Drosophila melanogaster: one gene and its partner. The protein of the gene in region 2 purifies or fractionates together with the protein of the main gene of each other region. This does not show direct contact. Each region holds a gene or a part of one and is shown on either strand. Other genes may lie near its edges.

Evidence for each region.
Region 1: the proteins of qkr58E-1 (region 2) and Ythdc1 purify together in Drosophila melanogaster (affinity purification with western blotting, with the first as the bait; one study listed by BioGRID). This does not show direct contact.

Annotation. Positions count from the first base shown.
Region 1 is NT_037436.4:3,369,653-3,376,109, forward strand, and holds Ythdc1 (YTH domain containing 1), read right to left. Parts: upstream 4,519-6,457; 5' UTR 4,383-4,518; coding exon 4,367-4,382; intron 4,218-4,366; coding exon 3,318-4,217; intron 3,199-3,317; coding exon 1,949-3,198; 3' UTR 799-1,948; downstream 1-798. Other genes in the region: Drs (drosomycin), read left to right, coding at 1-179; CG12010 (uncharacterized protein), read left to right, coding at 4,669-5,524, 5,582-6,382, 6,439-6,457. UniProt on the Drosophila melanogaster protein: Regulator of alternative splicing that specifically recognizes and binds N6-methyladenosine (m6A)-containing RNAs. Acts by acting as a reader of m6A methylation.
Region 2 is NT_033778.4:22,412,209-22,417,363, reverse strand, and holds qkr58E-1 (quaking related 58E-1), read left to right. Parts: upstream 1-1,845; 5' UTR 1,846-1,968; coding exon 1,969-2,224; intron 2,225-2,289; coding exon 2,290-2,794; intron 2,795-2,854; coding exon 2,855-2,956; intron 2,957-3,081; coding exon 3,082-3,263; coding exon of another isoform or gene 3,264-3,292; exon of another isoform or gene 3,293-4,023; coding exon 4,024-4,169; 3' UTR 4,170-4,447; downstream 4,448-5,155. Other genes in the region: qkr58E-2 (quaking related 58E-2), read right to left, coding at 1-112, 168-268, 333-936, 998-1,298; PolE4 (DNA polymerase epsilon subunit 4), read right to left, coding at 4,989-5,155.

The DNA of each region.
Region 1 (6,457 bases), on a different chromosome or scaffold from region 2:
CTGTCCTGATGCTGGTGGTCCTGGGAGCCAACGAGGCCGATGCCGACTGCCTGTCCGGAAGATACAAGGGTCCCTGTGCCGTCTGGGACAACGAGACCTGTCGTCGTGTGTGCAAGGAGGAGGGACGCTCCAGTGGCCACTGCAGCCCCAGTCTGAAGTGCTGGTGCGAAGGATGCTAAATCCATGAGCAATTAGCATGAACGTTCTGAAAAGCGCGTTTAGCTCTCCACTACTTACACATATTCTATGCTGCAATATTGAAAATCTAATAAACAAAACTAATGTACATTAATTCTTCAGTTTTGAATATCCTTCTCCTGACTTTCTTATTTAGAATTAATATAATACTGCATACATTAATACTGTAAATATGATAAGTACCTGCAAAACACTGCAGCTCAAGTCTTAATGAGGTTCTGCGATAGCTTAGCATAATTAGTAACTTATCGCGCAGGAATTCCCTAATGTTCCCGACCTACATGTACTTCTGATAGTTGCCGAGGTCAAATGTTGTTGTATTTGTATTATACCTCAATATTGGTATATTCAATATCTAATAGTACCCAATTCAATTGCAAAGATAGTCATTAAAAAAACCTAAATCACTTGCAAATTGACTTTTCTGCCGGAAAAGCAACCTTGACACACAAAGTTAATTAGTTTATCTGGAAGTCATGTGAGAAATTTGTAAATAAATAAATAGAAAATTTTTCGCAGTAATTTAAGTGGGCCTAATCCCTTTTAAGCATCTTGGTTTTACGATGACACCGCAATAAGGTACAACTTTATATTGTTTTTGCAATCAGCTTGAGTCTTTATTAGGCATCAGTCTTTCTCTCTAAGTTTCTTCGTGCAATAAATGAGGTTCCAAACTCCGTAGATTTTTCCTTCTTTGTTGAATCCAGATCCTGCAAAGAAAAAAGAGCAAACCCCTAGGTCTGTCCAGGAATGTATTTTCGTGTTTGTCGACGGTCTGAGCTTTGGTGAAGCGTGAAAATGTGGCAGTCACTGAGTGGAATCGATGGGGGGATTGACGCGTGCCCAACTGGTGGGCCAAACACTTCGGATTGCTACGGTTCGTATTGCTATTGAGCCAAAGGGACCCGGAGCGCATCACTCCGGTCCAAAATGTAGGCGGATGTGTGTCTGTTTCGGGGAAAGATGGTCTTCTGTCGGCAAGACATATACATAGGTGTTAAATATGATTGCATTAGTTTTATACTACGTATAAGGAAGCTTTGATTGGATCGAAGCGACTGAAGGCGACCCTCGTCCTTGAAATTCGGTAGCAGTGATTATAACTCATAGCCCCCATTTGGAGCTAGGCTCCGCTCAGGTCTTTGAAAGTCTTGGGGGGCACAGTGCCCCTTTGATTTTCGGTTTGCTTTTGCTAAGTCCAACTCTCGTTTTTGGAACTTTTGGGGTGGTGGATGGAGAAGGGGGCTTTGTGGGGTTTGGCACACACGATACACACATCACTGATTGATCACTGCTCATGTTAACTTAAGTTCGTTCATGGTGTTGTTGTTGGTTGTGGTTGTTGTTGTTGGGCGTCTCTTTAAAGTCTCTTTCTCTCGCTTTCTCTCGCTACTTTTCGCTTTGGGAGGTAAATAAAGTTCACATTTTCTCTCTTTCATTTTGTATTTTTGTGGTTTAAAATATTTAATTAGCATTAAGATCTCTGCTGTATTGAAATTTGCTTAAGTCGTAAGTTTGTTTTTAATCTTAGTGTGGGTGGTGGGGGTGTTTGGTGAGCGGGACAGAGAGAAAGGGGAAAGAGAGTTGTATCGACTTTAGACGATAGCCGGTTTTATCATATTAACTTTTTGCTTATACCGTAACGCATTCAATATTTCTCTTTAGATTTTCACACGCGAGAGGATTAGGATTACACTTTCCGATTCTAGCGAGGCCAGGAGCACGATCTCGTTTTAAACCTCGATGCGGCCTAGCGCCTGTTGTCCCGATAGCTTCGCTGGCCGCCGCCGCCGCCACGCTCGCGAAACGGTCGCGAATCCCGCGAAGATCCGCCGCCACCGCTGCGATTTCCGTACTCCCGTCGACGACCGCCCGCGGAGCCGTTGTTGCCGTCCCGATTCCGATAGCCGCCGGGTCCACCCATACCGCCACCGGATCCTCCACCGGCTCCCATGCCACCGCCCGCAGCCGCCGCCTGGGCAGCAGCTAACCCGCCAGCTCCATTGCTACCGCCATTGGCTGCTCCGCCGTAGACGGGGAAGCCAGGCGGTGGCACTGTGGGTAGGCCAGCATTCTTCCAGGCAGCAAACTCCTCGTAGCTCGGCGCCTTGTCGAAGCCCGGTGGTGGTGGTCGCTGGGGAGGCGGATAATCCGGTAGAGGCGGGGCACCGGGTCCATCGTAGTACCGCACCGGTGGCGGCAGCTGCTCGTACATGGCAGCTGCTGCTCCCGGTGGAAGGGCACCTGCTGCTCCCGCTCCAGCTCCTGGAATCGGCAGCTGGGCGAACGGAGGAACGAAGGGCAACGGCGGAAGTTGGCCGTGCATGTTGCGCATGTAGTCCGCCACGTATGCTTCAGCAGCTGCCGCCGAGGACATGTAGCGTTCCCATGACGGCATGGCCATGTCGCCCGGTCCGCCGGGTGGCGCTCCTGCTGCACCTCCCATCTGGCGGTACGGGGAACCGCTTCTTTTAAAGCCACCGCCCGGCGGAAGGCCCATGCCATGATGGTGACGGTACGGCCGATGGTGTGGTGCTCCGTGGTAGCTCCTCTTGTGCCGCATCGGGCCCAGGTGGTCGTGATTTGATCCTCTGCCTCCGCCACGACCTCCCCCTCCATGGCCACGCGAGGATAGACTCCTGGGCGGCTTGTAGATCACGTGTATACCTTTTTCTCGCATAACTCGAGCCGTCTCCTTGGATTTCTTGAGTATGGGAGTGAGTTCGATTTGTTCATCCTCGGGAAAGAGACGACACAGCTCGCCGCCAATCTTGGGCTCAATCTCCTGGCCATCGCGACCGATCTTCACCGGCTTGCCCTCGTTCCAGGTGTTGTGCAGGTGCAGGGTGGCGTTGAAAGACAATTCCTTGCGGCAGATCCAGTCAAGCTCGATGACGCCGCCCAGTGCCTTGGGCGAAATACTAGGCGGCAATACCCAGGCCACCTGAGGAATGTCCCGCCGTGAGGGGGCTGCCATCCGGGCGAATCCTGCAAATTTACCTAAAAGCAAAATCGGATTATAATAGAGGTTTTGAAGACATAGACATTGTATGTATCTTATTCTTAAGAAACTAAGAAAGTATAAGAAATGAGAAACATTGTTTACTCCTTGAACCTACCACTCTCGTTGACCGAGAAAATGAGCAGGACGTTTCTGGCCTCCTTGAAAGCCTGGTTAAGATTGGCGTCGTTCTGCGGCAGCGTGGCCCACACACTCTTGTTCTTAGACAGCTGGACGTTGTCGCTATTGTTCGACTTGATGAGGAAGAACCGTGTGTCTCGGAATAGGTAGTTCAGCTTGGTCATGTAGTCGTAGCCCTTCTGCGAATGTGAGTGCGTACCGCCACCGACAGAATCTTTTTCCGGCGTGGAGCTCTTGGAACTGGGTTTGCCCCGGCCGTTGCCGCCACCATTTCCTCCGTTTCTCTTGTGCTGAGTGCCCGAATCCGAGTCAGAGGACTCGCTGTCGGACTCCAAAGTTGGAAGGCTTGGTTTCTCGTCCTCAGCCTCGCTGAGATCGCTCTTGTGGCCAGCAGAATCGTTGGCATTGGAGGGTATCTTGGTGCGCGACTTCTTGGCGGACGGCTGTCGATCCTCGGTATCCGGGGATTTGGATTTGACCTTATCCGACGCCTCAGATGAGGTTGTTTTCTTCGTCCCGCTATCCGTGCGCTTCTTTTTCTTCCCACCATTTAGCTCCTCGGGAGTGGGTTCCCGTTTGGCTTTGTTCTTGGCGGAAGATTTGGAGGATTTGGTCTCGACAGCGGGTTGAGGGCTTTGCTTGGCAGGCTTCTTGGTTTTCCGCTTGCTACTGCCCGCCAGGGAAGATGTGGCAGTGCTGACGGAGCTGATGCTCGGCTCCGAGTCGGATGAGTCTCCACCATTCGATTCGGAAGCCTCACTCCTTGTGTTGAACTCAAAGTCTTGCAGCTCCTCGGCAATGTCCGCCTCGTTCTCGTCGAGGCCCAGGTGCACTGCATCCAAGTCCGCCATCTCGCGCATCGGCAGCGTTTGTTTACCTGCTCCGAAATCGGAAATCGGAGTACCAGATGAATGGAGCACCCACGCACACGCACACACGCAAACCAAGAAAAATATATAGAGAAAAAAGCCGATCGATCGGCAAGGTAAGAAAAGGTCAGGGAAATACAGGTATTCCCAAACTCACGGGCTGCTCTTGGCATTAATTGTGTGGACACCGGTCTAGCGCCACTTTTTGTTCACTTTTAACGCAATATATCCCTTTAATATCGCGAAATTACGCCAATTTTACAATGCTTACACACAAATTCTGCGTCACAGCGGCGACGAATTGGCGATGGCGTCAGAAGAGTGCGGCTATATGTCTGCAGGCCGCGACTATCGGACCACTATCGATAGGCGGATGCAGCTGAAAAAGGTAGCTAGAAATAGCTGAAAATGCACTGCAATCGGTTATGTTATCGTTCCTAACGAAGCGAGGTAAACAAAATGCACCACAATCAGTCGGATTTCCCGACTTTTCCGCTTTCCTTGCTGGACGACAGCGATCTAGAGCCACAGAGATGTTATATACCCGCGTGGGAGAACTCTACTGGAACTGGATGGTACCGTTGTCACCTTTGCGATGGCAGCTACGCAGTTTGTTGGGTAACTCCGCGTGCAGGCAGTGAAACTTGTTGCTTCCTTGATGGAATTGTAACCTCCTTGACGCGGTTCTCCCCCACCAATCAGCGGTTGGTGCTTCTGGAGCCACTTAAATTAGTTCCCTGCGTGAAGAGGATTTCATGCGTGATTACAGTCACCCAGGAGCTCCTTCAGCGACCTCCGGTTTCCCTGGAGGATCTGAAGGACGATGTGCGAATCTTCCTGCGCCACCTGAAGCTTACCAAAGGATGCTCCGTGCAGCACAGACGCCTTGTGCAGCTGGGCATTGCCAGTGTGGAGATATTCGATGCTCCAGGAGTTGCTGATGACGAGTGTTTTGAAATAGCCCACGATGCTGAGCTACTCCTGGCGGACATACGCCTGGGAATGCCCTTTTCTTTAGATTTTATCTTCAAGTATTTGCCACACAGCTTCGAGCGACCCATGGAGCAGTTGGAGAAGCTCCTGGAAACCTCTAAAATCAGCTTTTCGCATAGATTTCCTACTACAGCATTGGTTGTGGGTCCGGTGGACTGTGGAAAAAGTGGTCTACTCAGTGAGTTCCTGCGTCGTCATAGCTGCAACTGTTTTTACATTACAGCCAGCCAGGTGCTGCGCTCATATCCCGGCGAAACCGAAGAGGAGTTGAGGAGGATCTTTCAGGCTGCTCAGACTTTCAAGGAGAAACTACGTCCATTATGTAATTTTCACAGTGTTTGTTTTACGTTTGAAATATTAATTAGTTTTATATTTATAGTGCCAATTGTAATCCTCATTGAGGATCTGGAGCTGCTCTGCCCCTCAACGGCTGTCGCAGATGCAAAAAACTCTAGCAATAGCCTACGAATTTCAGCTGAGCTCTACAAACTGCTAGACGCACTTCCTCGAGGCATCATATGTCTGGCAACTTCTGGTGTCCCGGACTCCTTGCATGAACATGCGCGCAGGCGGTTCGTCCGAGAGGTGACCATTAATATGCCCAGCGAAGGGCAGCGCAGACAACTCGTAGAGCATCTCTGCGAAGTACACGAGCTGAATATCTCACAGACTTTACTCGAGCATATAGCGAGAAACACTCAGGGATATGTGATAGCGGATTTAACACTACTCCTGCGCCGCGTTCAACAGCAACTCTTAACAAAAGACGACTTCGACATAGAGCACATTTTCCTCAAATCCCTGTCACAAACTCAACCGAGTGCATCTCGATCCACAGATGTGCGGGTCTCGAAGATGACGGCTGGGTTTGAGGTTATCGGAGGCATGGAAGCACTGAAACGTACCTTGCAAGTCTCCGTTCTAGCGGGTATAAGACAAAGTGCCGCTTTTGCTCGATTCGGACTAAGTTTGCCCAAAGGAGTGCTGCTCTATGGACCTCCAGGATGTGCCAAGACCACCGTAGCCAAGTGCCTGGCCAAGGAAGCTGACATGACCTTCATTGCTACGTCGGCGGCGGAGGTGTACTCTCCCTACGTCGGTTGCGCGGAAAGATTTATATCGCGAATCTTTGACACAGCGCGAAAAAATGCACCCTGTCTTATATTTCTAGATGAGATAGGTGAGTCGGATAAGCTTAATTTGCCATAAAAATGATTAATCCACTTAATTTTATAGATTCGCTTGTTGGCAGAAG
Region 2 (5,155 bases):
CCGGCATTTCGGCCATTGAAGCTGGCCGCACTGACGACCATTCCGGGCGGTGAGGCTCGCACAATTGCTTGCGGTGGCAAGGTGGTGTGCATGGCATTGCCCCGTTGGGCGGCTGCAAAAGCGAACATAGAATCTATGGTCTATGGACCAGGAGAGCCCAGACTTACCTGGCACATAGGGTTTTGGCTGGTGGTACGCATTGTTGTGTGAGCGAAAATAGACAGTCTCCTCGTTGTGGCGATAGTGTGATTGTTGCTGAAACTTTTGTCTGTAAGAAACATGGGAGTTTAGCTAGACTCGAGGCTCGTAGAGGACATTGAACTGCAACCCACCTGTAGTTGCCGCCGGAGCGCTGGTTCCCATTGCCATTATTGCTGCCGGATCCAGCTGCGCCGCCATTTCCGTTTCCGCCTCCACCACCGCCTCCTCCTCCTGCACCACTAGCTGCCGCATTCGACTGCTGTTGCAGCTGGCGAAGCGTCAGCTTCTTGGCCGCCTCCGGATCCTCCATGAGTTCGCGGTACTGCTCTTGGCGGATGTCATCGTGCTTGTCCGGCGTGAGGTACCGCCGAATCTCGGCCAGGGCATACGCCACCCGAGCGTACGCCTCGGCGGGCGGAGCAATGGTGGACACCTCGACGTGCAGAGGAAGATTCAGGTGGGCGTACTTCGCGTCCGCGGAGTTGCGCAGCTCCTCCTCACGTGCGCGATCCTTCATTGAGAAGCGACCAAGTATGACGATCTTGCACTGCGTCTCCTCCTGCAGGCGACGCAGTGAGTTGCCCTTGGGCCCCAGTAGCTTGCCCACATAGTTGAACTTCTTGTCCTTGATGGGCACGTGCACTTTTTGGGACAGCTTGATGGTGCGCTGCTGGTAGACATCGGCGTACTGGTCTCTCGTGGGAATGCGTCCGTTTAGCTGCACACGCTCCAGAGCTGCAAAAACAGAGGGAAATCAAAGTAATTACCATGAAGTGCCCCTGACAAATCAATTTACCTTCGTCAATTAGCTTCACCGCCAGGGGGAAGTGGTTTTCCATGCGCGATCGCTCCGTCATGAGCTCCTGCATGTACTTCTGGACCGCCGGCGCCGGCTGGGCCTTCTCGCCGTCTGCGTTGGCGTTGTGTTCGTTCTCATGCTCCCCGTTGCTCGTCCCGCCGCTGACGCCGGTGGGCACCACTCCTGTCCCGGCCCCCGCAGTTCCCGCTGCTGATCCACCGCCGACTCCCGTCGCAGTGGAAGCCACCGCAGAGGCCACCGCGGATGACCCTGGCACGCGCAGTCCGTTCTCCGCCATTTGTCGTCCTGCCTTCGGGATCGCTGTCGCTCTATCGTCCTGCTAAGTCGCCGAGTCTCGGATTTTCCGTGCGCAGATTGCGGGCGATCGCTTTTGCTGTCGATTCGGTATGATTGCTAACTTAGCACACTTCAGCCTTCCCAATGGCCCTAATTTTTCTCTCTTTTTCCAAGTGTGTATTTTATTCGGACATTTACTATGTCAGCGGCTCGGTCCGGCAACTCCGGTCTCTCGGGCTGTCTCTCGTGCTTCTGCAGCGTGCTGTTCGCTGCCAATCGACGGTGCTGTTAAGGGCGCATAGTTGTTATCGGCTTGCAGACACTATCTAACGCTATATATTAACATAGATGCGTCGTCAGGTGCATGGCAATAATTTATAATATGCACTTAGTGATTTTTAAATTACAAATATAATTTAAATGCTCTCTTTGTTATGGGAAAGTTTTTAATAAAATTGATAAGTCATAAACTACTAATGCACATGATGGCGGGTTGTTATCGGCAGTAACCGATAATACGCTATCGAATCGGTGATGCCGATTTACCTATCGATGTCCTACCACATACATATTTTTTCAGCCAACTAATTCTGCAATAGTAGAATTTTGTATTCAAGAGTAGGAGTTTTAAAATTCACGAATCCTCCAGGCCAGAAATCCTACAAAACGCAATGCCGCGCGACTACGACAGAGACTACAACGAGGACGCCGCCGACTACAAGCGGAAGCGACGCGACGAGGAGCCAGCGGCTACCGGTGCTCCAGAGACCCCTGAGGCGGATGGCGGCGGACACACCACCAGCCACGCCGCCCTGCGGGACACGCCCCAGCTGAATGAGAAGACCAACGCGTATCTGCAGGAGTGCCTGCTGGAAAAGAAGACGCTCGAGAAGAAGCACATCATCACCAAGCGCTTACTTGACGACGGTGAGTTAGGCGCTGCGACATGTAAGCTATAGTGGATCTAATTGCAATTTTTCATGGCCCCGCAGAGGTGGAGAAGATCTTGGTCAGCGGACGCATACCAAAGCCCGAGATATATGCCAACGTGTACAGCGAAAAGCCCATCCGCGTGGCCCAGAAAGTCTTGTTCCCCATCAAGGAGTACCCCAAGTTCAATTTCGTTGGCAAGATCCTGGGGCCCAAGGGCAACACACTGCGGCAGCTGCAGGAAGAGACTATGTGCAAAATGGTGGTTATGGGGCGCAACTCGATGCGCGACCACGGTAAGGAGGAGGAGCTTCGCAGCTCCGGAAATCCAAAGTACGCCCATCTCAGCCGCGATTTGCACGTGGAGATATCCACGGTGGCCCCTCCAGCGGAGGCCTATCACAGGATCAGCTATGCGCTAGGCGAGATCCGCAAGTTTATGATACCCGACGCCAACGACGACATTCGGTTGGAGCAACTACGCGAGATGGATGGCAAGGAGCGCATGTACAAGAAGTCTCACCACTATTCCAAATCCTATGGCGATCATGGCGCCTACAGTTCCCGGTAGGCTTGTCAATTTTCGTTGAATTTTAATTGGTTACTAAGGAATTCCTTTCGTCACAGCACCCCGCCCCCTGCTTCTTCAAAGCCCAAAGTCTATTCGATTCTGGAGAAGGCTCGATATGTGATGGACGATCCCAACTATGGGATCGTAAAGACGCACAGGTTAGCTAAGTTCAATCGCGTTAATGATGCCTTTAGAAGTTAAATTCTTATGCTTTCAATAGCGTGCATCTGTGTTATCAACCATTGTTAGAAAACCCTCCTTTAATCCCTTACTTTTTCAACAGATCACGGGACCACGAGCTATATGACCACCATGGAGAATATGATCGCTATGCCACACCGCCGCCCCAAACATCAAAGCACTCGACCCACCACGCCCAGTATGACAGTAGCTCCTACGAGCGCGACTATCGGCGTGAGTATCACCCCCACTCGTCCTCCTCTTCCTACGCGGCGGCCTATCCAGGTAAGATACCTAGATTTCTAGACCAATAATCTCTTCCCCTCAGCAGGCATGTAAAAATAAACAAAATGAAGAAAAGAAAAAGAATACGACAAATAGCAATGTAAACGTTTAAACTTAACTCGCGCAAATCAAAACAAAAAAAAAACTCGAAAACAAAACAAAATCTATCCAACTAAGCGCCGATAAATTGAAAACGCAGAAAAAAACAGAAACCAAAAAAGAAAAAGAAACAAGGCCGCGTACCAAAATTATTAAAACGGCAACCCATCCCATTTTAACAAGATTTTAAATGCACTATGCCTGAACAGAGGCCAAATCAACTAAACCGAACAGCAACCAGTAAATCATCTTCATTAATTGGACGACTACTAACATACTCACAAGAAGCCAGAGCCAAAATATTAAAACAATCGATCAAACAATCAAATTACTGAAATTCACACTTTGAAAACAAAACCATAAAACTTCATGGCAAGAAACCCAAAAATATTTGAACATGCTTAAACTATAAAATCCAAGCTGAAAGGTTTGTGGAACAACTTTTTTTGAAACGTGATGAAACGAAATGCATTTTACTCAAAACAATAACGTTTCGTAGGGTGTAGTGCATTCAAAACCGGTTAAACAATATATTTTTCTTTTTTTTACAATGTATATATGCTAAGCAAAAGAAAAACCAAAAACCAAAAAACAGCACCACAGAGACAGAACAAGAAACAATTTAAAGTCTAAACAACAAATAAAATTCTTTTCAAAATAGCAAAACCAAGCAACGGTCGTTCATCATCGTCATATCGACCAACCACCTCGGGCTCGGGATCACATTCATCTGCTCACTACGAAACTGGATCCCGATCTCGTGAAAGCGTGCGATATCGCTCGGCTCCATATCCGAAAATACGTTAACCCATCGATTTTCCAAAACCCCAAGAAACCAACCTCAACAACAACTACAACAACAACAACAACCACAACTAAACAATGTTAAGCGTAAAGATTAAAATATATTCCAACGAAATATCAAAATGTTTGAAGTCAACAATCCAACTATTCACACCTATTAAATATAATATATAAACGAAAATCAAATAAAAAACGTAAATTTTTATTGCAACTGTTGTCCGATATTCAAATTGTGTTTAAAATTAAAACAAGAAACCAATAATGCAACAAATTTTATCCTCAAAAAGATTGTAAAAACAAAAGACATACTTCAATCAACCTAATACTAGTTAAAGCCAATACGAGAAGAGAACTAAACACAAGCGAAAACCCCCCCAAAACAATTAATTTATCAAAGCATAATTTTAGACTAAGCTTGAAAATATTGTTTCATAAGATAATGGAGATAAAACCAACATAAAAAGCAAAATATAAACTACAAATGTATGTGCCCAACGACAAAGTAAGTATCGCCTGCGGACAGAGTATGATTAACAAACAACAAACCACACTATTCAGCAGTTAAATAAATTAACCAAATGCCGGCTTCGTTACAAATTCCGAATAGCAAAGAGTATTGTGAAACGTTAAACGTTGTCGTTTATAATTATGATTTCTTTTTTGTTTTTTTTTCTTTGCGAATCAACAATTGTTTTATAACTTAAATATTATTTTTAACATAAAACCATAAGGACGTTTAGAACTGAATTTGTTTGCCGCTGAATATCCCTAAATAAAGTATAAAAGTATAATCGACAAATCCAGTTTCATTTGTGGGGGTGTTCAAAAGTTCATGGCTCCATCAAGGAATAGCAAACTGTCCACAGCAGAAATGGCCATATCCACGTCCCTCTTTTGTATGGTTTTCTTTTTGGACTGCGCCGTGTAGGTATATGATTCCCGTGACAACGAGGCTATGAATAGTTCCACTGCCTTCGCCACTATGAACA